4 linked regions of the Caenorhabditis elegans genome follow. The protein of the gene in region 1 purifies or fractionates together with the protein of each later gene. This does not show direct contact. Each region holds a gene or a part of one and is shown in the gene's direction. Other genes may lie near its edges. The genes, in order: eif-6, rpl-8, eef-1B.2 and kin-19.

Region 1 (7,363 bases):
TGATTGAGGAGACAACCTGTAAAAAGAGAACATTAGAATACAACAATCAAATTGAGCTCAACAAACCTGGGAGATGATTCTGTTGAGGTTGGTGTAGCTTGGTCGCTCAACATCCAAGTTTCTGCGGCAGATGTCGTAGATGGCCTCGTTATCGACCATGAAGGCGCAGTCGGAGTGCTCCAAGGTGGTATGGGTGGTGAGGATCGAGTTGTATGGCTCAACGACGGCGGTTGAGACCTGTGGAGCTGGGTAGATGGAGAACTCGAGCTTGGACTTCTTTCCGTAGTCGACGGAAAGACGTTCCATAAGAAGCGAAGTGAATCCGGATCCGGTACCTCCTCCGAAGGAGTGGAAGACGAAGAATCCTTGGAGTCCACTGCAGTTATCAGCGAGACGACGGATCCTGTCGAGGACGGTGTCGATGAGCTCCTTTCCGACGGTGTAGTGTCCACGAGCGTAGTTGTTAGCGGCGTCTTCCTTTCCGGTGATCATCTGCTCTGGATGGAAGAGCTTCTTGTAGGTTCCAGTGCGAATCTCGTCAACGACAGTTGGCTCGAGATCGACGAAGATGGATCTTGGAACGTAACGGCCGGATCCGGTGTCTGAGAAGAAAGTGGTGAACGACTCTCCCTCGTTCGTTGATTGAGTTGGCATGGTTCCATCGGGCTGGATTCCGTGCTCGAGGCAGTAGAGCTCCCAGCAGGCGTTTCCGATTTGGACTCCGGCTTGTCCGACGTGGATAGAGATGACCTCACGCATTTTCTTTTCTGAAAAAGAAAATTATAAAGTTTTAAAAGAGAAAGACAATTGTTATATGAGAACGAAACGATTGCGGTGAGAGCAGAGACGAAAGTGAGCCCAAATAGGGCCGAGAACGCACGAGCGCGCGCGCTCTCTCAACATAGCCCAACATCGGACACCGCGGTGGACAAGTCATCGATTGCAAAAAAATGATGACGAAATAGCGGGGCGCCAGTGGAGAGCGGATTGAAATGAGTGCAAAGGAGTGGACTGCAAGGGAGCCAAAACCCCGTTGTAAGAGACCCAGAGAATAACAATGGGAATTTCGCAATTCCCAATGGGATTACTTTGAGTCATTTTGAAACATACGTGCTTTCGGAGATTAATCAAGGAAGATGCAGCAGAAAACCGTCTTGTGAAATCGCAAAATGATTTGAAAATGTTGAATTTCAACTTGAAGAAGCTTCACGTCTTCAAAATTCGATTTTACGTGAAAACAAACATTTTTGAAAGGGCCGGAACACGGCCGAATGAGGGTAAACTATGGAAAACTGATAAAATAATGATAAAATTTGGAATTTTTCGGAAAAACGACACTGATTACGACGGGGAAGGCAGGGAAATGAGTCAGAACAAGATACAAAAAAATGTTTCGCGCCAATGATTGGTGGGTGGAGCGTGTTTGCTATATGACCTGCACATCTAACTCTCTGCGCGGCAATTCAAATCGGATTATTTTTTTCTTGTGAGTTTTGACTCTTCTCTCTTGACTTTTGAGAAGAATTCAGGTGGAAATTAGTTTTTCGCAGAAAGTTTTCAATTCAGATCTGGAAAATCTATTCATTTCGCAGTTTTTTCCTTTTAAAACCCGGAGAGTAACTTTTACTATTGGGAAAAACACTTGAAAGCGTTTTTCAAGTCATTTTTCCGGCTTTCAGTCCAAATTAAGACAACAAACAATACCAGTTTTAAGGAAAATAGACAGTTTATATTCGGAATTTATAAAACAAATGTGATAAGAACTGCCGGCGGATACGAAAATACCGAAAAAAGTAATCACCGACGACACCGAAACGGATGGAAAATCGAAAAAAAATAAATAATTGGGGGAAAGAATACACACATCGACAGAAGACCGCAATTTAGTGAGTGATATCCATGGACTCGACGACGTCGTACTTGTAGGTCTTGTGTTTCAGCACCTTGGTGGCTCCGGCCTGGAATTTGTAGACGAGGTCGTTGGGCTCTGGTCGCTTGCAGAATTCTGGCACAATTGGCCCCTTGAAGACGGTCTCGCTTGGCTCGATGATCACAAGATTCAAACTGTTTCCTGAGGCGTTGTCACCGTGCATACCGGCTTCCAGGGCGCGTTGGACAAGCTTCTCGGCTTCATCTTTCTGAAAAATATAATTATAGTATTTTTAGCGCATTGGAATTCAAAAATAGACTACTTACCGTCATATCAACCTTAAAATCACGCTCCAAAATAGTGATAGCTGCATATGATCCAGATCCTTGAGCTGTGAATGGGAAGGCCATTGTAGTTCCGTTGGCGGAGCACATATAAAGATGTGGGCCAGTTGGATCGACTCCTCCAATGAGCAAGTAGGCTCCGATGTATCCTTGATAGTTGAAAAGATGCTGCTTAGCTTGACGAAGAGCGGTGATCACACGAGCCTTGCGCCCGGTGTTTAATTCCAGAAGACGGAGATTTCCAGAGAGCATCTTTGTGACTTGATCGAGATCGGCGGCGGTTCCGGCTCCGCAGGCATAGATCGACTCAGTGAGCTTGTGAACCTTCTCGCAATGCTTATCGGCGATGATATTTCCGGCGGTGGCACGGGAATCAGCTCCCATCACAAGTCCGCCCTTGAAGGCAACGGCGACGATGGTGGTTCCGGTACTGGTGAGCTTTGGAGCCTTTCCGCCCATCTTGCACATTGCCTGATTACGAATGCAGTTGGAGAAGTCGAACGCGCCTCCACGGTCCATGTCCATGTGTGGGACGGTGGATTTGACGTCAGCGGTGGCCATTCTGGAATTAATGTTGTATTTGAAAAGATCTCACAAAACATTTTGAGAAAAAAAAACAATAAAAATGACAGGAAAAATACGGAAAACCATCTAGAAAAAACTGATTAACGAAAAACTTCGATTTCCCTGATTTCTGCTGTCTCACAAGTGATTTTCTGCAGATAACCTATTCAATAGCGAACTTCCACTTAATTTCTACAAATTTTTAATCAAAAATACGCTAGAAAAGCAGGAAAAATGGTGGAAAACTTCGAAAAATGTTGGAATGCTGACAAAAAGATTTTTCAAAGTCATCGCAACGACACTCCGAAATAACGCAAATTTGTAGAGTTCCGTGGAGCGTGTTTGCACCAAAAAATTTCCGTTAATTTTATTTTATTTTTCAATTGAAAATCTCTGCCTAAAACTTTTAATCTTAAGTTTTTCATTGACTTTTTGAGTTTTAAAATTCAAAAATTGAATTTTTCGTTCATTTTTAAGTAATTTCATATAAAACTGCCTATAGAAAATGAAAATTCCCTGTTATTCAATATTGCACAACATTTCGAAGCTCCGCCCATTTGTAGTTTGTATTTGTCTTGCTAACACCCATTCTTTCTCGTTTTTCCAATCAATTTTTACTATTTTCTCGATATTAAATCAATTAATTTTCAAAAAAAATTCCAGTTTCCCGGTTGAAAATGGCTCTCCGCGTCGATTACGAAGGATCGAACGATGTCGGTGTGTTCTGCACCCTCACCAACAGCTACTGCCTCGTCGGCGTCGGTGGCACTCAGAACTTTTACAGTATTTTGGAGGCCGAGCTCAGCGATCTCATCCCAGTCGTGCACACGTCGATCGCCTCGACCAGAATTGTCGGAAGACTTACAGTCGGAAATCGTCACGGACTTCTCGTACCAAACGCCACGACTGATCAGGAGCTTCAACACTTGAGAAACTCGCTTCCAGATGAGGTATGCGGGCAGGAAATTGAGAATAAATATTTAAAATTTGAATTTTCAGGTCGCAATTCGCAGAGTTGACGAGCGTCTTTCCGCTTTGGGAAATGTTATCGCTTGTAACGACCACGTCGCTATTGTTCACGCAGAAATTAGCGCAGAAACTGAGCAGGTAAGGAGAAATCCTACAGAACTGCGACTTTCAGTGTGATATTCCCACTTTTTTAATCGAAAGTTAGTAAAGAATCGTCGAAAAATGTTCGATTGTTCTGAAAATGATATTTATTTTTTGTTCAAAAGTTCGAAAAAGACCCAAACTTTAGTCGGAAACGGACAATTTTCATAACTTTCTTATTAATTTTTGATTCAAATGCTTGGCTTAACATACTGAAATTAACAATGTTCACACTACAAACTACAAAAATTCCTAAATTTTCTCTTTCAGGCGCTCGTCGAAGTGCTCAAAGTGGAAGTATTCCGTGTCAGTCTCGCCCAAAACTCGCTCGTCGGCAGCTACTGCATTCTCAGCTCTAACGGTTGCCTCGTGGCCGCCCGTACTCCACCAGAGACCCAACGAGAAATCGCCGCTCTCCTTCAAATCCCAGTCGTCGCCGGAACATGCAACCGAGGATCCGAGCTCATCGGAGCCGGTATGGTCGTCAACGATTGGGTCGCATTTTGTGGACTCGACTCCACTTCTACCGAACTGTCCGTCGTCGAATCGATCTTCAAGCTCGGCGAGCAAGGAGCTCCGACAAGCATCAGCAATCAGCTCAGAGATACTCTGATTGAGAGCATGCTCTAATCTTTTTTCTCACTATTTTTTTGATCTACCATTCATTGTTTTCCCACCTTTTTTGTTGTTGGTTTCCCCGTTTTTTGTTGTCAATGAAAAAACCCCTGAAAAATTCGAATTTTTCTCTCTTAATTCCTTCTTTGATGTCAAATCCTCACAAATTTATACCTTGAATTTCACTTTTAAAAGTACTTTTTACACGCTATAAATTTAATTTTCGCTTGATTTCAGAAGAACACACATCAACTAAACCTACTAGGTGAGTTGGACTCCACTACAAACTACACACAAAACCCTGTAGCCTGAACCAAAAGAAATCTGCCTAATTTATAGAGTCCGACGTAGCGAAAAAGATCACGAGAGAGATAGTACGAGACGCTGAGAAAATGCGCGATCACATTGCCTTAAAGGAGTACAGTGTAGTGATAAGGAGAACTATTCTTATCACTACTAATACCCCAATTTTTTTCAGAACTTTCCGTTTCAAAGTTTATTTCGATTTCTTTTTATTTGATTTTTATTCCAGTTTTTTGGCGTAAAAACTGGAATTTTGACTGAAAAACTGCAATTTTTGTAGATTTTTAGTGCTTATATATTTTTGGAATTCGACCTTTCAGCTGCTTTTGGCAATTTTTACCTGTTTTATTTGAAATTTTAGCACGAAAAACTTAATTTAGGCGAAAAATACTCAAAAATGTGCTGAAAAATAGCATAAAACCTAAAATTATGCGTTTTTCGTATGAACGAAACCCGTAAATTTCCGTCGAAAACTGTCAGTTTTGGAGTTTGTTTTGATGAAATTGTGAGGATTAAAAAACTGAAAATTTTAATTTTTAAAAGGGAAATATATTTTTAAAAAAACTTTTTTTCGATTTTTCGCCATAAATAATTAAAAAAACACTAATTTCTACAATTCCAGAACAAATAAATCGGATTTTTCTCAATTTTACGCCCGGAAAACAAGGAAATTTCTAATTTTTACGATTTTAGACCAGAAAAATCGAGAAAATTCACGATTTTTCTGAAAAAAAAATTTAAAAATTCTAAATTTTGTGATGTTTGTTACAAAAAAAATATAAAAAAAAAAAAAAAAAAAAAAACTGAAAAAACAAAAAAAAAACTGAAAAAAATGTAAAGTTTACAATTTCACACCAGAAAAATCGAGAAAATCGAAAAAATATATTTCTCATATTTTCTCTTGCTGGAAAATTCTAATTTTTACGAAGTTTGACCAAAAAAAATGTTCAGAGAAAAAAAAATTCAAAAATCGTAATTTTTGTGATTTTTATTTAAAAAAATCGTTGAAAAATTGTATTTCACCAAAAAAATCGTAAAAATTCACAATTTTTCGGATGAAAAAATATTTAAATTGTTAAAAAAAAAGGTAAAAATTTTGAAATTCAAATTTCCAAAACTTTAATTAAAAATGAAAGTATTTCCACTTTGAAAACTGTAGAATCCCTGCAAATCTTTGATTATATTATTTTTCAACTTTAATCAATTTTTGATCTATGAGCTTTTCTTTATTGTTTATATTGTTCTTCTTTCCCCTCAACCATCAACTCAATGATCAACTCTTCTCGTTCAGCTTCTCCAAAAAAATGGTAAACTCAACAACACTTGCCCATCTTAACACAAATATCGATCACCTCACTACAGTACTCTCTTCATATGCTGGAAGAGATAAAGCAATCAGATCTTTAGCATTCTATCTTCAACTCAAAAGTACCACTTCACCAGATAATGCCAAAGAAATTCTGGGCCTAGCGAAACAGCTTAGTGCCGCCCGTCTAGTATCCAGACAGTTTAACCATCCAGGAATGTTAAAGTCTTGTAGACAAATTATGCAAGCTTTTCAAACTGGAAGAATCGGAGATCCTTTGGAATTCCTCACAGGAGCAGCTGTTACAGGAATCTACACAGTCTACGGATTCGTTGAGCTTCTCGCCTGGCTTAGTGACGCTAAGATCCTTGCATTCAACTCAGCGAGGCTCTACAAATGGTGTCTTTACCTTTGGTTATCAGAACTTATCAATGGAATTGTTCGACAGATGAGAGTGATTTATCGGAAAGGAATCGAAAAATCGCAGGAGGATATTTTGACGCTTGTCGGATTATCATCAGACTTTATCAGTGGTGTTAATAGCCTTCCACACAAGATTTTATGGGCTGGAAAGTTGTCGATGCGGCAGAGTGCCTCGTTTTCATTGTTGGCTTCGATTATTGGATTTTATAAATTATGGTGATGTAGTTTTGAATGTAGACAATAAATTGGAAATGAAATCGATGAAATGCTCAAGTTTATAAATAGCAAAAAAAAAAACATCGGTAGACTTTATTTGATCTACTGTGAAAATGTTTTCCGGCAAATCGGCAAATTGCCAGAATTGAAAATTTCCGGCAAATCGGCAAAATGCCAGAATTGAAATTTCCGGCGAATCGGCAAAATGCCAAAATTGAAATTTCCGGCGAATCGGCAAAATGCCAGATTTGAAATTTCCGACAATTCGGCAAATTACCACAATTGAAAATTTCCGGCAAATCGGCAAATTGTCAGAATTGAAAATTTCGGCAAATCGGCAAATTGCCAGAATTGAAAATTTCGGCAAATCGGCGAATTGCCAGAATTGGAATTCCCGGCAAAATGCTAGAATTTAAATTTTCGGCAAATCGGCAAATTACCAGAATTGAAAATTTCGGCAAATCGGCGAATTGCCAGAATTGAAATTTCCGGCAAATCGCAAAATAAGCAAATTCTATAAAAAATATATAGCGAAAAAATTTCAAAAAGGCACTGTTTTAAGTGTTTCCGTCTTATAAAAAATCCCTTGAAACATTTTCGGCAAATCTGATG
Region 2 (7,396 bases), on another chromosome or scaffold:
CAGTCCTCTACCAACAGTCCACTTGCATCCCACGAGACTCGTACAGTTCCACTGATCCCAGATATTTTACATTGAAGCAGCAGGTACCCGTTTGTCTGCCACTGTTCAGTCTTTGAACCGCCTGGTACCTGGAAAATTGAAAAGTTTTGAAAAATTAATTTATTTAAGATTTGCTTAAAGGTAGAGTAGAGAAAATATTTTTTTAAGTCAAAAATAACCTGTTATCCGAATTTGAGTGTGAATTTTTTTTTTTTATTTTTTATGAGCCATTTTCACTGGTTTTCACGTACATCTGGGCTCAATGAGTCCGATCTCTTCGCTTCTTTGGCAGTCTCAGCGATCTCCGTAGCCGGCCCATCCCTTGTATGGGTCGCGGAAAGCGATAATAGCAAGTGGGGCTCCTCTTCCTGGGTCGTGGATGATGTCCTTCACGAGTCCCTTGATGTAACCATGTCTCTCGGCATAGTCGAGTGGGATGCGGATACGACGTCCCATTTTACCCTGGAAAAGTTCACTAATTAAAAATTAGAAATTTTAAAACTAAATTCCTAAAACTATTTCGATTTTTGAGATCAATCCAAAACTCACCAAGTTTTTTTTCCGGTGCCCAGGCGAAACAATTTCACCTGCAACACCGGAGAGGCGGGAATGGAAGGGACCCATGTGAATGCGACGATTGTGAGTTTTCTGCGAGAGAAACGGAGGCTTTTGTAGAAAAATGGGAGGAGGCGACGCGTTCATTGGCCAGAAGAGAGACTGACAGACAACTGGCATGAAAAAAGCGGAGAAAATTCGATTAAAAACATGGAAAAGCAAGTAAATAGAGGAAAAACTGCAAAATTTGCATCAAAAATACATTTTATAGCTTTAAAATTGAGATTTTTGAAGAAAAATGGGTAAATGAAGCGCTTATTGGTCACTGGAAAAACGAAAACCGTATAAAATGCGAGAAAATTAACTTTTCAAGCAAAAAAAAGCCGAAATTTGGCTCAAAATCACAGATTTCGGTTAGAATTTCAGCAAAAATAGCGATTTTTGTTTGAAAATGGGGTTGGGCAGCACTTTTTGAACAAGATTGCTACACATCTGTCACGAAAAACGGAGAAAATGCAACAAAAGGCATAAAAACCTGTCAAATATCAAGAAATGAGAAAATTACCAACATTTGGGACTAAAAACTGTGAAAAAGACAAAAAAACGTTAAATTTACAACGAAAAGAGAGAATTCTGGTGAGAATATTGCATTTTACTGATTAAAAATAATGAAAAAAATCAAATTTTGCAGCAAAAAGTCGAGAAAATCGGCTATTCGAAATATATTCTATAGCAAAACAAACTTTAGAATACCGTAAGAAACATCAAAGGCGCATAGCTGCCAACGTGTCATGGGTCTCGCAGCGAAGCACATAAAAATGTGTTTTCTGCATTTTTTTAAAAATATTTTTTCGTATGAAAATCAATGCTTTATGGAAACTTTATCGATATTCAAGAATAAAACATTGAAAAAGGTGTTTAGACAAGGCTTTCGTACACAATTTTCAAAATAGGCAGAAATAATCGAAAAAAATTATTGAATTTTACTGCTCCAGCTCTACACAATATGGATCGATCCTCGAGGTTGATGACAGCCGGTGCTGACACTTGAACGGCTGACTCTTCTTGCTGCAGAACTGAATTTCGACCTTTGTCGAATATATCGTCGAGGAGAGCTAGGTACCGGGATAGATCGTCTGAAAATTTGGTTATAGCTGTCTAGTTAGTCGAATTATGTGCTCAGTGTGTAGTTTTTTTGTAGTTTTTGCTTTTTACGTTGAAATTTTTATTTATTTTCGAAAAAATGTCGATTTCAAAAATTTCAGCTGTTTGCTCGTCGAATAAAATGCCGGGTACGCAGAGGCGGTGAACTACGTACCCGGCATTTAATTTGACGACGCAGTGGATTTTATTTATTTTTTCTCATTTAATGCTCAATTTTCAGACTTTTTTATACTTTAATTGACGAAAATTACCTGCTCGGGTGACATTCTTTGTAGTACTCCTCGAGAACGTCGTCTTCATACGATGGCGGAGGAGATGTGCCACACCTGGAGAGAATTTCGTTTGGAAAATTGAATTTTTCACTTTAAAATCGCTTACGGAAACTCTGTCGAATTGTTTTTTGATTGATAAGCCGGCGGTGAGAATTCATTTCTTGCTTTTGCACTGGCGGCCCTTTTTCGCATTGTCCGAGCTCCTAAAACAATTTTAGAAACACGAATTTTCGTATAAATCTGAATTTTTCACTCAAAAAACTAGATTTTTCAGATAAAATTCAATTTTCAAAGCTTCTAGAACTTCAGGAACAAAAATTTCCGAAAGAATCAAGATTTTTCATTTCAAAAATGCATTTTCGCAATTCTATCGTCTTTTAGACCTAAATTTTTGGCCAAAAACACACTGAAACATCAGTTTTCAGCTAAAAATTCAAAAATTAAGCCCGAATCTCGAAATTTTTTTAATCAAAGTGTTAATTTTTCAGCTCTCAGCTCTAAAAATTCGTTTTCCACGAAAAAAAACTGGATTTTCCCCATGAAACGTTAATTTTTCAGCTTTTCACGACGTTCGAGCTTCAAAAATTGAAACAAAATATTATTTCCAGGACTTTCATGCTTTTCGATTTTCAAAAATCGAATTTTTGTTTAGAATTACGGAATTTCTCATCATCGAAAACGACAATTTTCAGCTCCTCAAGCCTCAAAAATTGAAAATTTCGAAGCATTTTGTTTCTTTCGGGCCTTAAAAGTTCAAATTTTATCTAAAAATCGTAAAAATTGGATTTTAACGTTAAAAATCGGATTTCGAGGTAAAAATCAATGTTTTTCAGTTCCAAAATTGGAAATTTTCATCAGAAACGTCTATTTTCAGCTTTTTGGAGCTTCAAATTTCAATTTTTTGGAAGATTTTCTAATTTTTTATTCCAAAAAGTTGGATTTGCCACTTTTCCGCCACTTTTCCTGCAGTTTCCCTCGAAATTCTCACAGAAAAATTAAGAGTTTTCAAATGCTTTTAGCCCTTAAAAAACTTAATTTATCCACTAAAAACTCAGTTTTTTCACTAACAATCTCAAAAATTCACTGAAAATCTCAAATTTTTACTAGAAATGTCAAATTTTCACTAGGAATCTCGAATTTTCGCCAAAACACTGCAAATTTACACAAACAATCTCAAAATTTCAATAAAAATCTCAAATTTTCGCCAAAAATCTCAAATTTTAATTAATTTTCGAGTTTTCTAATGCTTTTAGCCCTTCAAAAACTGCTTTTCTCCACTAAAAATCCGTATTATTCACTCAAAACATCAATTTTCCAGCTTCTCACGTTGTATCGTCTTAAAATTCTTCTCTCTAAGCCTATTCGTAACTCGCTGGAGCACCCGACGTGATCTTCTCATCTCGACGACCTTGTCCAGCTCCCACTGCTTGCATTTATTAATTCCAAGCTGCAAAATTCGATGAAAAATCGATAAAATTCCCCATTTTTCCGTACCAACATGGCTGCAACGAGCCCAACACAGAAAATTATCGTCGGGAGCACAATTGACGTCATCACCTCGCTCGCCGGAATTGTGAATTGTTGTGGAGATGACATTTTAGTGGAAAATATTAGCTAAAAATTGAGAAAACTAGTGGAAAAGGGAAAAAGCTGGCGTGAATTAGTGCATTTTTGCACCCAGATGTTAGTGGTTTAGTGTAGAGAAAGGAGCAGAAGCCGTGAGCCCAGAAGAGACGGCGACAGCTCATCGATTTTTCATTTTCTCTGGCTCTTCTCTCTTTTTCTACGTATTTCTCCGGTTTTTTAACGATTTTATCAGATTTTCAACCTCAATAATGTTCTGAATAACTTTAAAATCAATTTTTTCTCCAAATTTCAACTTTCTTCCTTCAAAATTCGTAAATTCTTCTCATTTTTCAGATTTAATATTAATTTCCCTCTTCTCCTTGTGTCGATTTACGAGAAATGTTAAAGGCGCACGCTATTTATCGGGCTGTCGTGGCGAGACCCACCCTCTCCGCCGCAGCTGCTTGGCTCTCGTTTTCTTCTATTTTTTCGGCTGGCCTAAACTTTTTTCGCCAATTTTGAAGATTTTCAGTAATTTTTTTTTGTTTTTATGTTCAAATAATTATAGAAATTCAATTTTAATGCTTGTTTTGATCATTCGTCGTCTCTTTCTCTCTCAAAATCTCGATTTTTTCGGCTTTTTATCTGAAAAATATTATTTTCCGTCTAAATACGAATTTTTAATTCTCAGTTCCGATAGTTTGTCATCTCTTTCGCTGTTTTACTTTTATTTTCGTCTATTTTTGTAGTGTTTACCTCTTTTCCGCAGATTTCAGTCATAATTATTGAATTTTTTCAGGGTAACATGGGACGTCGTATCCGCATCCAGCGTAAAGGAGCTGGTGGAATCTTCAAGAGCCACAACAAGCACCGCAAAGGAGCGTCCAAGCTCCGTCCTCTTGACTATGCCGAGAGACATGGCTACATCAAGGGACTCGTGAAGGACATCATCCACGACCCAGGAAGAGGAGCTCCACTTGCCATCATCGCTTTCCGCGACCCATACAAGTACAAGACCGTGAAGACTACCGTCGTCGCCGCCGAAGGAATGCACACTGGACAATTCATCCATTGTGGAGCTAAGGGTTAGTTTTTCCTTCAGTTTGAAGCATCCGGCTTGTCCTTTTTAATCTGGCCTGAATTATTTTGATTCTACGCCCTTCAGGAAGGACCATAGGAAATTTTGCCTCTTACCCCCGGTGTGATAGTTTGTCAGAATCGGTCATTGTGTGCACGAACACTTTACTTTCGAAATTTTAGAACTAAACATTTCATTTTTAGTTACTAAATTCTAATTATTATTTTTTTCAGCTCAAATCCAAATCGGAAACATCGTGCCAGTCGGAACCCTCCCAGAAGGAACCACCATCTGCAACGTCGAGAACAAGTCCGGAGACCGTGGAGTCATCGCCCGTGCCTCTGGTAAGTTTTGCACAAATACCAATATAATCTTCATTAATCAATTAATTAATTTTCAGGTAACTACGCCACCGTCATCGCCCACAACCCAGACACCAAGAAGACACGTATTCGCCTCCCATCCGGAGCCAAGAAGGTCGTTCAATCGGTCAACCGCGCCATGATTGGACTCGTCGCTGGAGGAGGACGTACCGACAAGCCACTTCTCAAGGCTGGACGCTCATACCACAAGTACAAGGCAAAGAGAAACAGCTGGCCACGTGTCAGAGGAGTTGCCATGAATCCAGTCGAACATCCCCACGGAGGAGGTAACCATCAACATATTGGACATCCATCCACCGTCAGAAGAGACGCCAGTGCCGGAAAGAAGGTTGGACTTATCGCCGCCCGCCGTACCGGAAGAATTCGCGGAGGAAAGCCAGTCAAGTTCACCAAGGAGGAGAACGTCTAAATGTATTGTTATTTGTTATTCAACAAAATACATTTTTGTTATTAAAAAACCGCTTGTCTTTCTTTCATCAAAAAATTGAGAGCTCGATAATTTTGGAACCAAAAAAATTTAGGAAAAAAACATTAGGGAGTAAAGGCTCAGAACACGCCAGGAAGAAACCGGTATTTAACTTTCGAACAATACTGCGCCCAGTACTGCCCGTACTTGATCAGGCATCGATTCTCATCGGTGAATGCTCGTGCAACAAGGAACAGGATAACGAATAAGGATGGGATGTGAGCAATGGTGGATGGGAAGCCTTGAAATGCAGAGAAAGCGGCGAATGTGATGGCTTCGGAGGCATAATTTGGATGCCTGCATACTCCCCAATGACCACTGCCTGGAATTTTAGTGGTTTTTTTGAAGACAAATCAAGCTTTCAGCGAAAAGCTTACCTAGTAAAAGATTAGTATTAGCATCTCCGGAGTCAGTTCGATACTTTGCACTAATAAAAAAAGCATCAACTCCGCCAACTTTCAGCGTTCCTTTAGATTTCCGGAATTCATATTTCTGCCGATCGCATTTCGCAGTGAAAACCATCGAGCCAATCGCCACAGCACAGAATAAGCAGTTGGAGATCACACCGACGGATCGATTAGTCGCCACGAGAATCGTCACTGGTGATGTATAGATAATGGGTCCCAGCACGAAATCCGCCCAAATTCGATAGAAGCCGAAATCGCATCGCTTCGAGTCCAACGAGTTGAGAAAGAGGTCTTCGTTCCAGTGAAATTGGAAAATGTAGAGTAGTTGGACGCTTGATAAGCAGACGAGAGACGCTGGAATTTGAATTTTTGTAGAATTTGTTATTTCGAAGGAGAAAAACTTGAAAATTGCAAATTTCTGGCAAAATCTTTTTTTTTTTGCGTTAATTTTTCGAGAATTTCAAAAAAAATAATTTTAGAATTCAAAATTTTAGCTAACATTTTTAAATATTTGAAAAAAAATCTTGAAAAAAGTTTTTTTTGAAAATTAAAAAAAAAATTACAAATTTGTAAAATTTCAGACATTCCCAATGTTCAGCCAAAATTCCATTAAAAACACAAAAAAAACTCACTAGAAATCTGTCCATAGGTGATTTTATGGAAATACATTGCAGAAATCACAAAAAGCGGCCAAATTACAAACGTAAATCTCGTTCGGATGAAGCTTTTCAAATCGATATCCAATATTTTCGGATGATTTTCGATTCCGAACCAGAATTCCGATATTGTTGTCACTGAAAAAAATACAAATTTTTCTTTTTGAAATCTGAAAAAAAAACAAATCGGCAAATTGCCGGAATTGAAAATTTCCTGCAAATCGGCAAATTGCAGGATTTGAAAATTCCGGCAATTCGGCAATATGCCGGAATTAAAATTTCCTGCAAATCAGCAATTTGCCGGAATTTATAATTTCAGGCAAATCGGCAAATTGCAGGATTTGAAAATTCTGGCAAATTGGCAAATTGCCTGAAATTATAAATTCCGGCAAATTGGCAAATTGCCGGAATTGAAAATTTTCGGCAAATCGGCAAAGTGCCGGAATTGAAAATTTCCACCAAATCGACTAATTGCCGGAAATAAAAATGTTCGGCAAATCGGCAAATCGCCGGAATTAAAGTTTCCTGCAAATCGGAAATTGCCGGAATTTAGAGTTTCTGGCGAATTGGCATATTGCAGGATTTGAAAATTGCCGGAATTGAAAATTTCCGGCAAATTGGCAAATTGCTGGAATTTATAATTTCCGGCAAATCGGCAAATTGCCGGAATTTATAATTTCCACCAAATCGACTAATTGCCGAAAATAAAAATGTTCGGCAAATCGGCAAATCGCCGGAATTAAAGTTTCCTGCAAATCGGAAATTGCCGGAATTTAGAGTTTCTGGCGAATTGGCATATTGCAGGATTTG
Region 3 (7,846 bases), on another chromosome or scaffold:
TTTTTAACAATTATATTCGGTTATTAGGGTCTATTTTCTGGCATTTAAACCATTAAAAAAAATTTTGAAATATTTTTGCTTCTTTTTATCAAAGCGCTCAATTCTGCAATTTTTTATATTGTTTTTAGAAGAAAAATGAGAAAAAAAAGAATCATTTTTTCTCCAATTTTCAAAAAAAAAAACTGAAAAGAGCGCAAGTGCGCCCCAGTGGACTGAGGTGTCAAAGTGTCTCATATCGGCTTTATCTACGTTGATCTACAAAAATGCGGGAGACGAGACGCAAAGCACAACTTATCTTGCATGATTAAGAGCGTGCCGACGTCACATTTTTTAGGAAAAAATTCCCGCGTTTTTTGTAGATCAAACCGTAAACCACACGTTGCTGTACATGTTGTAGATCACAAAAAATCTTTTTCAGCGGTGAACTCTATGGTGGTGAGGAGAAGCTTTCCCCGGCAGAACGAGTAGAACGGAAATCTGTGCTAATTCGAATAATCGAGAAGAAAATGCTCAGCTCTGAGCATTTGTCCAATGATTCTGAAAAGGCTCGTGTGGAAATTGGCAAATTTCTTGCCAAATCTGCAGAGTTCTCACCGACTCCTGCGGTTGCCGTGGCGATTTTGGACGTTTTTGAAGATTTGAAATTGGATGAGGATGATGATGCGGAGACCAGGAAAATTATGGGTATATTGGAATTTTTTTAATGTGCAAAAATTGTGCAAAAAATGTGTAAAAAATGTGCAAAAAAAGCTCTAAAAATGTGTAAAAAATGTGCAAATATTGTGCAAAAATTGTGCAAAAAAAGCTCTAAAAATGTGCAAAAATTGTGCAAAAAATGTGCGAAAATGTCTCCTTTTTAAGACGAAAAATAACAAAAAAAAATCGATTTTTTTCAGAAAAAATAATTTCAGAAAATTTACTTTTTTTCCGTATTTTTTTGTTCAATTTGATGGAAAAAAATATGTTTTTCTTCTAAAAAACGGTTAAAAATAGCTAAAATAATGTGTAAATTCTATCAAATGTCATCAATATTTCTTTGGAAAATTAATTTTTCGGCGAAAAAATGTCGATTTTCCGAAGAAATGCATATAATTTTGTTTAATTTCAGAAAAAAAATTTTATTTTTTTTATTTCCATGAAAAAAAACATGAATTTTTCTTCTAAAAAAAACGAAAAAAAAATTCAAATTTCAGCAAAATTTTTGCAGAATGTCTCCGTTTTAAGACGAAAAATAACAAAAAAAAATCGATTTTTTCAGGAAAAATTTCAAAAATTTACTTTTTTCCACACTTTGTTTTCTTCTAAAATTTTCTTCTAAAAAAAAACGAAAAAAATTCAAATTTCAGCAAAATACGCGCTCGCCTATCTCAAAAAAGATTGGAGCAAAGTAGACGAGCTCTGGAGCAAAGGAACTCGCTACACATGTGCAGTTCGTGACATTCTTCACCATTATATTCGTCTTCGAAAGGAAAAAGATCAACTTTTGGCGATTCAATGGATTCTGACAAATAAAGTAGTTCAGCTGGTTCCAGAGGATGATAAACGGAAATCCTGCGTATTCTCACAACAATCTGATGATGATTTATTGGAAAAAGAAGATCGAAAAGCGACATTTTATTGTATTAGTAAAACGACTTTTGGTGTCATTTTTAAAACTTTATTCGGAAATTTGAATTCTCGATGCTTAAAGTATGATATGTCGGCCAGTGCTGCCAAGAATGGAGGTGTCGACATCGAGGATACTCTGGAATCCTGGGAAACTGCTTCATCATGCTTTCTGATCCTTTGCCTTCTCCTTAGAATCAATAAAATCCGAACTACGGCGGTTTTGACGTCGGCTATTAAAGAGGGAAAACAATTTCTGATTACTGTTTCTAAAAAGAGCTCATTCATATTTTTAATGGATAATATTACGAAGGGAACCAATTTCGATACGATTTGTAGAAGAGTTGAGAAGATTTTATCGGCTGTTCAACAGGGAAATCGTGTCTTGCAGAGTATTGGAACTTTTGCAAAGGTTCTTTTTTTTGCGATGGAAAATTCCACGTTCTCAGGATTTGGATTTTCAGAGGAAAATGGATTTTTTTTTTCAGTGTTTCGGGGCAAAAAACAAAAAAACAGGCTTCTTAATTTTTGGATTTTTTAAAGAGAAATTTGATTTTTTTTTGGTCCGAAATTGAAATAAAAATTCTTTTTTTTTTAATTTGTGATGGCGAAAAATAACAAAAATTGAAATTTGTAGAAAAAAATCTTCAAAAACAAAAAAAAATTCGAATTTCGATTTTTTTAAAATGAACTTTTCAGAATATGAAACCCATTAAAAACCACATTTTGCTTTAAAAATTTTTTTTTGTAAAATACGAGAAGTGAGTTTTTGTCCAAAAACCAAGAAAAAAAATTAATTTTGAACCAGAACAGACCGGAAAAAAAAACCATTTTGGACCGAAAAACAATTTTTGCAAAAAATAACCATAAAAATTCATTTTTTACCCAAAAAACCTAAAAAAAACCAAAAATATCCCTTTTTACCCAAAAAAATTAATTTTTCCCAAACCAAATCCAAAAAAAAATTAATTTTTGGTTTAAAAAACCAGAAATACAATAAAAATCCAAATTAAAAAAAAAAAAAACCAAAAAATCCTTAAAAATCAATTTTTGACCAAAAAACTAGAAAAAAAACCTTTAGAAAAAGGAAGAAATAATCTTTTTTTGCCCAAAACAAATCCAAAAAAAAAATCATTTTTTGATTAAAAAAAACCAGAAATCCAAGAAAAAAATCCAATTTTGGCCAAAAAACCCATTTTTAGCCACAAAACCCCCACAAAAAAACCATTTTGCAATTATGCTCAAAAAAACTTTTAAAAAAACCAAGAAAAAATTATTTTTGTCCAAAAAAAATCCAATTTTGTCCGAAAAAAACAGTTTTTTATCAAAAAAAAATCCATTTTTGGCTAAAAAAAACCCAAAAAATTTTATTTTTGCCCGAAAAAATCGAAAAAATTTTCCAGATCCTGAAAACGTGTTACCTCCACTGCAATTTTTTTCTCAAAAAAAAACAAAAAATCTCAATTTTCAGACGAACAAATGCGTGCTTCTTCTCAAAAAATTCCCGGAACTCCGTGCAGAAAGTGAGAATTGCCTTCGAGTAATTCATTCGGCAATGGTGAAAAATGAATGTTTGAATGCATTCACTGTTGGACTCGTCAAAAGTCGAAGTATTGATGGAGATATTATTATGGATCAGCGTGCCAGTGAAATTGACTCGGATTCCGAATGAAATTTTAAAATATTTTAATTTTTCGCGTTTTTAAACGGGTTTTCTCTGTATTTTTAACTTTATTTTATTTTTTCCAAGTAAATTTGTTGTTTTTCGTTCAGAAATTGCATTTAGAAGCTGAGAAACCATGGAAAATCATTAAATCATGATTTAAATCACGATAAAAATAGATTTCGCTTCAAATTTTGAACTTCCCTCCATTAAACTTTAAAGGCGCATGGAGATTCACAGCGCATGGGTCTCGCCGCGCCGTGTTGCATGTGAAGAAATTTTGGGTAATTTTTGCAGTTTTCTAGTATTTCTAGCGCTGTTGTTCGGTTTTTTATTTGTTTTGACGCTCGGAAAATTTATTTATAACTTTATTTAATGTGCCAGCATAGTTTATTATTCAATTTTCAGGTAAAACAATGTCTGTCGAGGGTCTTCTCTCTGAGGTCAAGCACTTCAACGCTCATCATTTGGATGCTGCTCTTGGAGAACAATTGTTCTATGGAGGGAAGCGTGTCTTCTCCGACGTTAAGCCAGGAACTTCTTCTGGTGGTGACCACGGTATTTATTATTATTTTTTATATAAAATGTTTAATATTCAAGTCTTTTAGGATGCAAGGGAGGAAAGAGCGAGCTCAAGGGAGCTATCCACAATGCCAAGCATGCCGCTGATAAGGCTTTGAACAAAGAAGGTAAATTTGGCATTTTCTGAAAGCTAATTTAACGCATTTCTGTTTCAGGAGGAGAGGACGTCTCCAAGCTTCGCGAAGAGCACTCTGCTCTTGCCAAGAAGGTCGACGACTTGGCCAGTCTTGTCGCTGAGCTTCAACTTCAACTCTCGACTCTTCGCCAAGGACAGGTAAATCATCGTCGTCACGTTTTGATTCTTGGCGACGGAAATCTCTCGTTTTCCCTTGCCATTGCGTCGTCAGATCCGGAAACTGTATACTTTGCAACTGTTTTTGATTCGAAAGAACAGTTTTTGAAAAAATACAACGCTCATGACACGTTAAACGCTCTAGACGCTTTGAGCAATGTGATCCTATGTTTTGGAGTTGACGCGACAGATCTGCCGGTTCGCTGGAGCAACATCTTTAACACGGTTATCATGAATTTTCCACACCCTGGCGGTAAAACCAATCTGAGAAAGAGTAAAATTTTGCTCTCCGGAATTTTTGCTTCCCTCAGAAGTATTATGGATAGCCAAGCAGTATTTCTTCTCAGTCTTGCCATTGGACAGTCTGGGCTCGAGAAGGTCTCTGATCCGTGGATGAACGAGCTCCCAAGTCACAAAAAAGATTCCTGGCAGGCAATCTATCTGGGCGCCGAGAATGGCTTCATTCTCGACAGTCTGGAGAGGTTCGATACTGATAGATTCGCATCTTATAGATCTTCCGGTTATAAAGAGACTAAAAAAGGGTTCAATAATCGTGAAGGATTGACATTTTCCTTCAAAAAGTGTGATAATCAGCAGAAGTCTCTGCGCGATTTTCAATTGGCTGAGCCTCCGAGGAGTGGAAAGTTCAAGTTCAACTACTATAGGCCCTTCTACGCCCAGGATCTGTCGATTTTGTTCAAAATCGGTGAGAGCGAAGGAGAGAAGCTCGCCGTGGAGCTCGTAAAATCGATCGCTGGAAATTGTTTAGCTGCGATTTCTGAGATTGAATATCTTCGATCCATCTGCCCAGATCCGCCACTCCCAAATAGGATCTACAGAATTATATGGCACGGCCTCGAGCTTCCGATGGGACGTGAAATGTGCTCCAGAATCCATGAAGAGCTAAGAAATCGGATTGCTGAGGAGATTGTCGCCAATAATCTTCCACTGGTGCTCACCTGAAAGATCTGCTCGTCTTCTGTTAATTTATTTGTTGTATGTTATTGTTATGAAAAAATAATCGTTGAAAAAGTTGCGAAGTTATAGTTTCCGAGGTCCAAAAGCCTTAATTTTATATTTTCCATTTTCTAATACTAATTTTTTGTTTTCAGACCAGCTCCGTCGCTGCTCCAGCTGCCGCACCAGCCGCTGCTAAAGAGGAAGCTGCCGGAGACGACGACTTCGATCTTTTCGGATCCGAAGACGAGGAAGAGGACGAGGAGAAGAAGAAGGTCGTTGAAGAGCGCCTTGCTGCCTACGCCGCAAAGAAGGCCACAAAGGCCGGCCCAATCGCCAAGTCCTCGGTCATCCTTGACGTAAAGCCATGGGATGACGAGACTGATCTCGGAGAGATGGAGAAGCTCGTCAGATCCATCGAGATGGACGGACTTGTCTGGGGAGGTGCCAAGCTGATCCCAATCGGATACGGAATCAAGAAACTCCAGATCATCACCGTCATCGAGGATCTCAAGGTTTCGGTCGATGATCTCATCGAGAAGATCACCGGAGACTTCGAGGATCACGTCCAATCCGTCGATATTGTTGCCTTCAACAAGATCTAAAGGCCTAATCAGTTGTTCTTATATCCATTATTTCTATCTATTGTATTTCAACCTTGTGAATAATTGGTTTATTCGGTGTTTTTCTCCATTTATAGACAATATTAAATGTTTTCATCGGTTAAATAAACGTTCATTAGGTGCAAATTGCGTCAGTTCTTCGTTGAATAAATTTAATTTCCTCCGGTTTGTGAACTCTGGTGCAGTACTGAATATTAAAATCACAGAATTCAACTCAAAAAATATAAATTTAGAGCAAAAATGCTGCTCAAATGGAACACAAAATCGATTCCGCCGTGAGTTTTTCCCCATTTCCCGCCAAAAAAATTCAAATGCACGAAAAACACGCCAAGCGCACGAGAAACGCGTCAGCAACGGTTACAAGTTTCGCGCAAAGCGTCATTTTTCGCGTGATTCAATTTCACAAAGAAATTTCGCGTTTTCAGCCGTTTTTCATCATTTTTTTGCGAGAAAAATGTGAAAATAATTTCCTGTTACATGGGAAATATGATTTTGCGTTGAAATTTCGTTGAAAAATCGATAAAATTCGCGGAAATCTCATTTTATTGTCCGATGGGTCGAGATTTCCCAGTTGCTTTCGCGCGTGAAAGTATCGATTATTTTTCTCGTTGGTGTGAATTAGTTATTCGCTTAATATGCCGCATTTTTCGTAGCATATAAAATTATTTAATTTTCTCAAATTCCAGGCATGCGCGCCTCTCGTCGCAGTGGTGCCAGTGGAACGCTCAACAAGGCCACCGTTCCGTTGCTGCCTAAAAATCGACTTGTAAAGGTAGGAGGAATATTTCAATATAAAATTTCTTCATTAATATAATTATCTTTTCAGGAACTACAAGACCGCGGACTCGACACTTCCGGGGTGCAGACAGTACTTGCCGACAGGCTTGTAGAGTTTTTAAGCGTTGAGGATGGATCGATTTCAAGTCCTGCAGTGGTGGTTAGTTTAAAAATCGATAAAACCAGTTTTAAATTCAATATTTTTTGCAGAAAAAAGCTCCAGCTGCTGCCAAAAAGACGCCTGCCGCAAAAACTCCGAAATCTGCGACAAAAGTTGATTCAATACGCCGTTCAACTCGAGGAGCTCAGCAAGTGAAAGAAGAAGAACCCGAAGAGGAGGAAGAAGAAGAAGAAGAGCAAGATGAGCCTGTCCGGGAGACTCCGAAACCGAAACGAAGAGGACGACCATCAATAAAGCAGGAACCTCCAGAGGAAGAAGCCGCGACAGAAGATGCTCCTGTTCCAGAAGTTCCAGAAGTCACCGAACGTCGAAAGAAGCAGAACAAGGAGAACGCCACTCCGCTCGTCAAGAAGGATCTCAAAAGAAAAGCGCCGGCAGTGAAAATCGAAGAACCCGAAGAGCCAGAACCTGGAACTTCTCAAAATGAGCCATCAACTTCACAGAATGGAAAGACGACTCTGAGCACCACTCCGCAATCAGAGGAGAGGCGATCTCGACGGAAAAGTGCTCGACTTTTGGCTTCAGAACAAATGGATGTAGAGGATGAAGATGAGCCTGAAGCGGCGGCGGATCCGGAGCCCCCAAAGATTCAAGAGCCCGAGAAGAAGAAGCAGAAAGTTTCGATAAAAGAAGAAGTTCCAGATGTGGCGGCGGCTGTTGTTTCACAGGAGCCACAGGAGCCACCAAAAAAGCAGAAGCTGACTAGAATAAAAGTGGAAGTTGAGGAGGAAGATCCAGACTTTCAACCACCAGATGAATCGGATCCCATCAGGCATTCGAAGCGTATAAAAGAGCACTCGGAGCACAGTTATGATGCCCTTCAGCAGACGCAAAAGGAGAAAGCTGAACGAGCCGAGAAGCTGCTCAAGAAGCAGAGAACCTCATCATCATCTTCTCAGCCATCTCCAGCGGTTTCTGCACAACCAAAACCTGCGAATTGGCAACTGGAATGGGCGGCCAAGATGGCAATGCACAAGAAGCCTGCTCCGGCTACCACAAATGGCGTGAATCCGGAGCATGTGAAGAGAAAAGAGTCTGGGGAGAAGCCTGCCGCCGAAGTTGCGACGAAAAAAAAGAAGAAGGAGGCGATAGACACGATTGAGGCATTGATGCTGTCCACGATTAAGGAGATAGTGGAGAAAAGTGAGTAAAAAAGGCAAAAAATA
Region 4 (9,107 bases), on another chromosome or scaffold:
TCAACAGAAAAAAGAGAAAATGTGTTCGGTTCGTTTCTTTTTCTGTGTGAAACTAAATGTCTTATTTTGAAAAATTCATATTTTTCAGATCGGAGAAACCATTTACACATGGACCCAGAACAAGCACGCCACCACTTATGTCGGAACATACACTAAAGCTTTCTTCTCAGGCGAAGTTTGTCGCGAAATCAGAGAGCATGACGAGTTTCTCGGGATGAGTTTTTCTAGCTTTTTTTAAAATTTAATTGAAATTTGGGTACCAACAAATGTAACTTTTGAGATGAACAATAGCTTGGTGAAAAATTTTATTGGATTTGTATCAAGTTGTAGCTCGTTAGACCATGCATATCTCCTTCTCAAAAACTATCTCCGCAAGTTAAATCGATGGCCGGAGTATTTATTTTCCTTTCCTAGGCCATGAATGGTTCTAGACATTAATGTCGACATTTCAAACCTCACACCGTACCTCGGCTTACCGTAAAATGTATTTGAAACAGTTCGAAAAGGCAAAAAATTCAACCATTTTAAGATAGTCGAGAAAAGGCGCTCTGTGACGCCTCGAGAATAAAATAATTTTTCCAATTTTACAGAATGTTTGACGAAAAAGTGCGACTCGGTCAAGTCACCAAGCCGACAGATTTCAAACTCAAAGTTCATGATGGAGAAGATCGTAAGAATCAGCCGAATTCAAGCGGAAGTGGAGAAATGCATTTTGATAGACCTTAAAACTATCTTTTGCAAGTCATGTTGTAAATTTTTTTAAAATTCTAATGCTCTACTGAAAACTTTGATTCTACCAATAATAAACCCTATACTATTTTTCCATATATTCCATTACTTTACACTTTATAACTTTATGCTTTATAAAATCTAATTTCATCAATATATTCTTCTCAATAAACATATTTTATTCAAAGATTGATAGCTTCAAGAAACTTCCAGCTACAAACGATAGAGCAAATCTAAATTATTTTCTGAAAATTGGAAACCCTGAAACTTGTCAATTAGCAACGTATAGTACCACATCAGAAATTGACTCAAACTTATTTTGTGTTGCGAAACATAAATAAATGTTCCTACGTTACCCTACTACAGTAACCCCACATTTTATTAACTGAAGTTTTCGTGAATCCTCCTTCGTACATTGTTTTTCCAGTATTCAAATCTGAAAGTCAAAGAAATCTGTAACTTCGAACTTTTGTTGCTGTGGAATTTTCATAGTTTTTCACTTTTTTCGGTTAATTCTTTCAATACGGTGGAGTAGCGTCAGAAGGGAAATTGCTTCAACAGATGCCTTTGGCAAGACCAAGTACAGTACTCTAGGCTTAAAAAAACGTGAAATTTCGCATCTGAATTATATTTTTTCGGAAAATTCGAAAATTTTTCATCCAAATTTCTTCCAAATTGTAGGCCTACCCCTAATCACCTCTAAAATCATTCATAAAAGTTTTCAGATTGCCTTTTTTTCCCATTGAGTGTGCTAAATTTTGTGTTGGGGCCTAACAAAATGGTATTTTTCAAAATGTCACAAGCTTCATTTGAGAGTCTAAAAGTGAGCTGAAACTTTCCTTGTAGAAGCTGAAAATTCAAATTTTTGACTGTATCCATGATAAGGTCTGCAACAAAAAAACGTACAAACTGAATGAATCAGAATTGTTTTTGGTTGCTTTTTTGCTCTCTTTTTCTTCCATTTTTTCCCCATTTTCTTCCCCCATCACTAGTAGTAGTAGTTGTGGTCGGCATAAAATGGAAGGGGAAACATTTACTCCTTTTTCTCAATTTTATACACTATTTCTCGATTCTCTATGATTTCTCTATGCTCTCCGTGTTCTGTGATGAAGAAGCTTCTTAATTCGCTTTAGTGAGAGAAAAAAAAACGTATGAATTCCAGAAGTGAAATTGCAATTTTTCTTCATTTTAATGTTTGTTTAGCTATTTCGTAGTTGTTATTTTTTAGTATTTTTTCTACATTTTAGAAACATTCAAATCACGTGCTGCTTGTCATGGGCGTGTAGACTTTTGTGATTTTATTAAATTAACATTGATAAGAATAAGAACATTAGCGTCAATTGATAACATTTTTTGCGGTAACATGGGTACTTTTTTGTCGAATGTTCTCAGCGGCTTCTGTTCGTCAAATCTGCAATTTTTAGATTTTTTGCACCAAAGTGCATGCACTCTCCAGTATTCTGATTCGCTCTTTTCCTTTCTTTTTGTTCCCAGTTTCCCTAACTTTTCTATTAGCAAAAAGAACGAAATAGGGTTTTTTTTTCGCTTTTCAGATCCTTTAAATTTTGTAATTTTTTGTTTGATCGATTAAAATATGAAGGGGAACAAAACCTGACTGTAATTTATCAAAAAATCGACAACTGTCTCTCGTGTTGGGTGTAAACTTTTATTTTGAAAACCGGTTTTTTGTTCGATCCGACAAAGGAATTATTTTTTGGGAAAAGGGCAAGAATTGAGTTTTCAAAAGCTGATTTCAACCTTTACCAGTGTTTTTTCCGAAATTGCTCTTAAAATTTGTTTTTTCTCGTTATTTTGTTAATCCACCAGCGTTCTCCCCATTTTCCACGTGATATTTCTCATTTAATCGAACAAAGTGACTCGTCTCGTTCATAAAAACGTAAAAATGTTCGAGGCGAGACGAAAAAGAGTGAAAGAAAACCGAGGAAAATGGGCGAAACTGATGCAAAATGCGAGAGAACGAGAGAAAACGACGAGTCGAATTTGAATTAGCGCGCAACCGCGACGCAATGAACACTGCGTCGCGGTCGGCCTTCCCGGTTGTGTGACTGACGAAATCGGTGCCCGACACCCTTTTCGCCCCGTTTCTTCATCGATTTCTGCTCGTTTTTCGACGTTTTTCGTGTTTTCGGCTGGGAATTATTTGATAATTGTGATAAAGTGGTCGGTATATCTAATATTTGGTTTGAAATTGAAGAAAAACGGCTAAAAGTGAGCAAATAAAGGCTGTCTTGTGAGTTGGATTAGGTGGCAAGTGAGTCATTACTGACGTTTTCAGACGGGGATTTCTAATGTTTAATAATTTTAATGAACTTTTTGGACGATTATCACAAGATTTCAAAGCGTGCACTTCGTTTTAGTGCAAGAAAGCCGAGAAATTTAGGATTTTAGCCATTTTCGATCGCTTTTTTTAAATTTTAATTGTTAACGCTCACTTTTTGATCGATTTTTGTATTAATGGCTCTTAATATTCGCAATTTATTCGTTTTACAATTTAATGTGAGAACAGGAGTAAAGAATTAGCAGTGATTATTAGCCTGCAGCTTGAAAAGCTTGTCCTTCGCGCACGTTTGTCAGTCTTGGTTTCTGAAGTATTACTTAAATGTACATGCGTACTTTCTATGTTTGAATAAAGTGTAGTCAGCTAGATTTTCAAGTTTTGAAGTTTTCAGCTATCGATTTTCCAATTTAGCTCAATTTGTTTTCACCTGAAACAATTTATTTTTCTCCTTTCTTCTCGATTCTTTCTTTTCAAGTTGTCTGTTTTTATTTAAAAAAAATAAGCAGCACTTCTTTCAAATCCGCAATTTTATGTCGTCTAACGTAGATTATCCTAGATTTTCGGAATATTTATGAGGAAAGTTTTTTGATATCACGAATACCTTTTTTTGTTTTCTAATGGAATGCTAAATTCAATTGGTAGTCGATGAAAAATCCTGAATCTTTCATTTTCTTTCAATTTATGTTCTGTCAGAAATTCGATGAACTACCGGGCTCTCAATAAAAAAAAGGTGTTGTTTACCCAATCCAATCGATTTTTGTCGCCAATTCGTTTACAATATCGTATTTCATCATTTCTGTTCCATTCTCAACCGCGTACCGTTTTCGTTTCTCTATTTTCCGTTCAAAAATAGCATATTTTCAGGTAGAGCTCCTCTTTCTTGAACCACCAGGTGCCCTCGTGCACTCAATTCGTGTTCTGCTATCAAAGGTATCGATTTTTACCATTTTTTGTTTAGTTTTAGTCAGTCACGATAGTGAATCATGAATTTTCAGCACGATCAGAGCAAACAATGGCAGGTGTGATGTCAGTTAAGGACTTCATCGTTGCGACAAAATACAAGCTCATACGAAAAATCGGATCAGGATCATTCGGTGACATTTATGTATCGATCAACGTGACGAACGGCGAGGAGGTGGCCATTAAGCTGGAAAGCAATCGGGTTAGTTTGAGCAGCTTCCATATTCTTTTTCGAATAATCATTCATTATCGATTTTTAGGCGAGGCACCCGCAGTTGCTGTACGAGTCCAAAGTGTATCGTATCCTACAGGGAGGAGTCGGAATTCCACATATCAGATGGTAACCTTTTTCTATAAAAAAGACCTAGGAACATATTTACCGCGTCTAAATTGTTCTAAAACTTGTAATTTCAGGTACGGAACCGAGCGAGAGTACAATGTGCTTGTCATGGATCTTCTCGGTCCTTCATTGGAAGATCTCTTCAATTTCTGCTCCAGAAGATTTACCATGAAGGTCAGTGGTGACGAGTAGCTTAAAATGAGTTTCAGCAGCGGATTCCTCTGCTTCACCGCGCAATTACTTCACGTGAATATTTCAATTTCAAGAATTACTTTGAAATTCGCACATGAAACGTATTAATGATCATTGTTGCCAATGTGTTAGAGTATTGGTCATAGAAATAGAGTTCTCAGAGTTCAGAGTAAATAAATAATAAACGATTTCGAAAATGAGTGCATCCTTCTCACAAATTTTCATTATTAAAGAAGTTTCCATCAAGATAATTTTTTTTCAGACTGTTCTCATGCTGGCTGACCAGATGATCGGACGTATCGAATATGTGCATGTCAAGAACTTTATTCATCGTGACATAAAGCCAGACAACTTCTTGATGGGAATAGGACGTCACTGCAACAAGCTCTTCTTGATCGACTTCGGATTGGCCAAAAAGTAATCACTCACTATCATAGTTTAACAAATATTCATCAAATTATTTTCAGATACCGTGATTCACGCACCAGAACTCATATTCCATACAGAGAGGACAAGAACTTGACCGGTACCGCCAGATACGCATCCATCAACGCCCACTTGGGAATTGAGCAGTCGAGAAGGTATTTTAGATTTTTTTTAAATTTAAAATTTACTGTTTCAGAGATGACATGGAATCCCTTGGATACGTTTTGATGTACTTCAACCGTGGAACTCTTCCATGGCAAGGATTGAAGGCCGCCACGAAAAAGCAAAAGTATGAGAAGATTTCTGAGAAGGTTTGTGGTGTGATCCTGTCATTTTATCGATTTTTCAACTTAATGTTTTCAGAAAATGACGACATCAGTCGAGCACTTGTGCAAAGGATTCCCAGCTGAGTTCCCAATGTACTTGAGCTACACAAGAGGACTTCGTTTCGATGAATCTCCAGATTACATGTACTTGCGGCAACTGTTCAGAATTCTCTTCAGAACGCTCAATCATCAGGTTCGTGTTAAAACAATTACAATTACAGAAAACCTTTTCAAACATAATTAATACTTGAATGAATATTTTAAAAAAAGCAACATTGTTTAAGAAAATATAATAAAATGCATATTTACAGTACGACTACACATTCGACTGGACAATGCTCAAACAAAAGGCTCAACAATCGCAATCCAGTGGCGTCCCCGGAACCAACACTACTACACAGGGAGCTACCGTTCCATCAGCTGGAGTTCCAGCTGGAGTTGCACCAGGAGGAACTACTCCACAGTAAGACGTTTTGTTGCCGTCCTGAGGCTTTTTAATCCAAAAAAGCCCATGTTAAATCATGTACTATCCTTTCTTTCGTCTCTCTACTCTTTTCATTTTTTTCCCCTCTACTATTTTTGTCTTTTCTTGGGCTAACATGCCTCTTTAACTGTGTGCTGAAAATTGTGGAATGTTTTGTTGTATTTTATCTTTTAACCAATTTTTTAACTAAAGATGAATACTCTCTACTTTTCGCAGTTTCAGCACTTTTATTTGTCGTTTTATAAATAGTCTCATCATCTTCTCCTACTCTCTTTTATTTCCTTCTTTTCCATTTTAGTAGGATTTTTATTCCCCCATTTTTCGAATCGTTTTGACCTTTTTTTCTTGAATGCCTCCCTATCAACATACCAATATATTTTTCTCTCTATTCCCCCCTACCATTTTTCCCTTTCCTTTCTTCGTAATGATGAAAATGTCCCAATGTCGGGCACTCAAAAATTAAAAAAAATACTGAAAAAGTCAAGTGGCCGAACATGTTTTTGGGTATAACCGGCTCACCTTGACACACCCACCCCCTCTCTTTTGGCTCCAAATGCCTCTCAATACCCTCCCATAACTTCCCCACCCAGAAATCAGAGCCCCACTCCGTTCTTTTTTGTGTGTAATCAATAAATTGTCGTAATTCTCATCACATTGTTTTTTGCGACCTTTTCTGAAAACGACCAGAAAAGATGCGCTTGAGTCTCTCACATCTGCTGCTGTCGAATTTTTTTCCGTTTAAACTTTAAAATGAACAAGTTCATCATTTTAGAAAATTTGTTTTGTTTTCAAACTTTTCAGGAATTTAGTTTTTAAAAAATTAATGCTATTTCCCGTAACACCCTTTTGAACTTTCCTACCCTAAAAATATGTCTATATAAACTTCCAAAAAATACAAAACTTCACATATCGGATAGTTCAATCGATCGCCAACAATTCGATGGCACAAAAGCCCAATGGGCCTCCAAAAGAAGACACTTGGGCATGACATCCCGATCTCTGGACTTTCATGGAATAATGGAGGAGTTGTTGAATGCTCGACAAGGATCCTGAACTGACGACAAAAAACCAATTGGAAGGATAAATTTAAGTGCTCCAATATGTTGGAGCATCCAAGGTAAGCTCTTTCAGCAGATAATTAAAACTTTTCAGGAAAAACGGAATTTTCCGAGAAATTCGAAAGAACACAAGCTCGACGAATATAAATATCATTTCATGTTTTAAGACGAATAAATTTAAAAAATAAAGAAGAATAAGAAATTGAATAAAAATTGATTGAAAGCTTACTCGTTTTATTGTTATCCAAAGTCTCAATACTGTTTTAATGTTTTGGGTCTCGTTAGGTGTACGCTGAAGAAGTTATTACCTAACAAGAGCCAAAATATGGTTGATGATTTCTTTTTCAATTCGTCTGGAAAAAATTGCGATTTATTTATAATTTTCGAAACTCTTCTTATTCGCAAAAAAATCCGTTTGTTCTCCTCTACAAAAGTACCTACCGTATATTCTCTATTAGTGCTGCATGCAGCACTAATTTCCAGGCCCTTTTTTAATGCAGCACTATTGGAGACTGCAGTACTACTGGAGACTGCAGCATTAATTTTCGAACGGCAATTTTCAATTATAGATCACTAGTTTTTTGTGACAAAAACTCATTTTTTTCAGCAGAAATTCATTGCGAACATTGCGAACTTTTGTAACAAAAAGACCCACTAATTCAATTGCTTTCATAAATTATCAAAAAATCATCAAAAATATACAAAAAATACCCAAAAATACCCGAAAATATCGAAACTGTCAAGTGACTCTTTTAATAGAAAATGGGGTGCAGCACTAATAGAGAAAAACGGTACTTGTGTTTAAATAAATGTGCGTTAAATTTAACTTTTTGAAGTTGTGCAAACCCTGTCCCAATGCACCATGTTCCACCCGAAAGATTTACTGCAAATGAATTCCTGATATAAGTAGAAAAATAATAATTGAGAAACCATTTATAGTAAAAATTCATTGTTTTGTTTTGAAAGCACCGAAAATCGTATTGTGAAGGATGTTTGTGTGTTGTGTGAACCCGTAACGTTTCGAATTGATCATTTAGACAGTGTAGTAGGGCGAGGCAGCAGAGGTTTGCAGTTCGACCTGCGATATCTTGTATCTCACTTTCTTCAGCCACTCCGTCACCAACGGAGCTTCCAGGGAGGGCTGATTTTGGCAAGAGTCGAGTTTCATTCTGTCATAAGAGAAATGGTTAGAAGCGGATCAGAGTTATCGAAAGGACTTACCTTAATTGATTAGGTATTTGCGAGTGATAGGCAGTCAGGATGGGTGCCCACATCGAGTAAAGTTGACAGAGAAGAGCAGAATTTACTTGTTGAAGAGCTTGGATTGTGTTCAGAAAGTGCAAGTTGACCATGTCGGCTAGCTGAAAAATTGTTATGCTCACTATCAATTGATAAATAAGGTTTATATGTGCTCTGTGAGCCACTAGGGAGTCTCTAGGCATACATGCCTGCCCTTCTAGGTTGCCTGGAAAGCAGGCATTCTTGTGGCTAGTTGAAATGAGAAACTATGGGAATAAATTGAACATCCCGCCAATAAGGTTCGAAATAATTCAAAATTAATTACCAGCCAAATATTTCAAAAATTTTAGACCATACTTTCTTAAGTTTTTTCTTAAAAAAAAATAAATGAGCATTTGAGTTTCCCGCCAAAAGTTTTTGAAACTATTTAAATTTAATTTGAATTTCCTACCAATTTTTTTTTTTCGAAATGTTAAAAATTGAATTTCACGGGAGACTAAAAAATTTAACCGTTCGCCGAATTACTTTGAAAATATTTTTCAGTTATTCAATTACCGTACCACTTTTGAATGACTGAGAAGTTGTAGAATAGCGGGAGTTACACGAGCCCAGAAATCAACCAAATGAGCAAAAGCAGTTGTAGAACTGTAAGTTGCAGCTCTTTCACAATAGACAGTCCATAGTTGACATAGATGGAAAGCATGGAATAGAGCTGACATATGTACAACGGATTGCTGAAATAGTACATTTTAAATATTGAGATTTTTAAGGTTAAAAACCTTCGATTGATCGGCAAATCCAGCCAGCACAAAATGAATGTAATCAGCCATATGCTGAGAGCATTCAATTGGAACTGGAAGGCATGAATGATTGGCGTGTAGAGCACCGAGTAAGAGCCAGGAGAGCACACGGACATTGGTGACACTATCGGCAAATGCACTCGGAGCTGCTTGTGTGACAGAAGGAGGAGACATGAGCCATGGAATGAAACGGATTACTGTACGGCAATCACGTGCATTGGATCTTGACATTTCAACGGCTGGAAAAATGGAGA

What was found.
Region 2: the proteins of eif-6 (region 1) and rpl-8 fractionate together in Caenorhabditis elegans (co-fractionation; one large-scale study listed by BioGRID). This does not show direct contact.
Region 3: the proteins of eif-6 (region 1) and eef-1B.2 fractionate together in Caenorhabditis elegans (co-fractionation; one large-scale study listed by BioGRID). This does not show direct contact.
Region 4: the proteins of eif-6 (region 1) and kin-19 fractionate together in Caenorhabditis elegans (co-fractionation; one large-scale study listed by BioGRID). This does not show direct contact.

Annotation. Positions count from the first base shown.
Region 1 is NC_003279.8:12,965,505-12,972,867, forward strand, and holds eif-6 (Eukaryotic translation initiation factor 6), read left to right. Parts: upstream 1-3,441; 5' UTR 3,442-3,455; coding exon 3,456-3,728; intron 3,729-3,777; coding exon 3,778-3,885; intron 3,886-4,158; coding exon 4,159-4,518; 3' UTR 4,519-4,731; downstream 4,732-7,363. Other genes in the region: tba-2 (Tubulin alpha-2 chain), read right to left, coding at 1-16, 67-759; pbs-2 (Proteasome subunit beta), read right to left, coding at 1,884-2,138, 2,197-2,775; prx-11 (Peroxisomal biogenesis factor 11), read left to right, coding at 6,111-6,755. UniProt on the Caenorhabditis elegans protein: Binds to the 60S ribosomal subunit and prevents its association with the 40S ribosomal subunit to form the 80S initiation complex in the cytoplasm. May also be involved in ribosome biogenesis. Involved in miRNA-mediated gene silencing.
Region 2 is NC_003283.11:20,475,294-20,482,689, forward strand, and holds rpl-8 (Large ribosomal subunit protein uL2), read left to right. Parts: upstream 1-4,395; 5' UTR 4,396-4,401; coding exon 4,402-4,681; intron 4,682-4,715; exon of another isoform or gene 4,716-4,840; intron 4,841-4,907; coding exon 4,908-5,018; intron 5,019-5,074; coding exon 5,075-5,466; 3' UTR 5,467-5,541; downstream 5,542-7,396. Other genes in the region: calf-1 (CAlcium channel Localization Factor), read right to left, coding at 1,592-1,730, 2,010-2,084, 2,137-2,233, 3,357-3,477, 3,525-3,626; dhcr-7 (7-dehydrocholesterol reductase), read right to left, coding at 5,604-5,845, 5,901-6,284, 6,563-6,724.
Region 3 is NC_003282.8:15,033,665-15,041,510, forward strand, and holds eef-1B.2 (putative elongation factor 1-beta/1-delta 2), read left to right. Parts: upstream 1-3,666; 5' UTR 3,667-3,684; coding exon 3,685-3,826; intron 3,827-3,876; coding exon 3,877-3,957; intron 3,958-4,005; coding exon 4,006-5,105; 3' UTR 5,106-5,174; downstream 5,175-7,846. Other genes in the region: fcd-2 (FANCD2), read left to right, coding at 419-684, 1,347-2,017, 3,077-3,277; hrpu-1 (B30.2/SPRY domain-containing protein), read left to right, coding at 6,411-6,494, 6,549-6,659, 6,710-7,823. UniProt on the Caenorhabditis elegans protein: EF-1-beta and EF-1-delta stimulate the exchange of GDP bound to EF-1-alpha to GTP.
Region 4 is NC_003281.10:4,081,422-4,090,528, reverse strand, and holds kin-19 (Casein kinase I), read left to right. Parts: upstream 1-3,892; 5' UTR 3,893-3,958; intron 3,959-4,023; 5' UTR 4,024-4,040; coding exon 4,041-4,190; intron 4,191-4,248; coding exon 4,249-4,328; intron 4,329-4,402; coding exon 4,403-4,502; intron 4,503-4,782; coding exon 4,783-4,937; intron 4,938-4,987; coding exon 4,988-5,101; intron 5,102-5,142; coding exon 5,143-5,257; intron 5,258-5,309; coding exon 5,310-5,465; intron 5,466-5,583; coding exon 5,584-5,739; 3' UTR 5,740-6,526; downstream 6,527-9,107. Other genes in the region: C03C10.5 (uncharacterized protein), read left to right, coding at 1-28, 89-218, 591-763; unc-79 (Uncoordinated protein 79), read right to left, coding at 7,848-7,983, 8,036-8,175, 8,614-8,787, 8,833-9,092.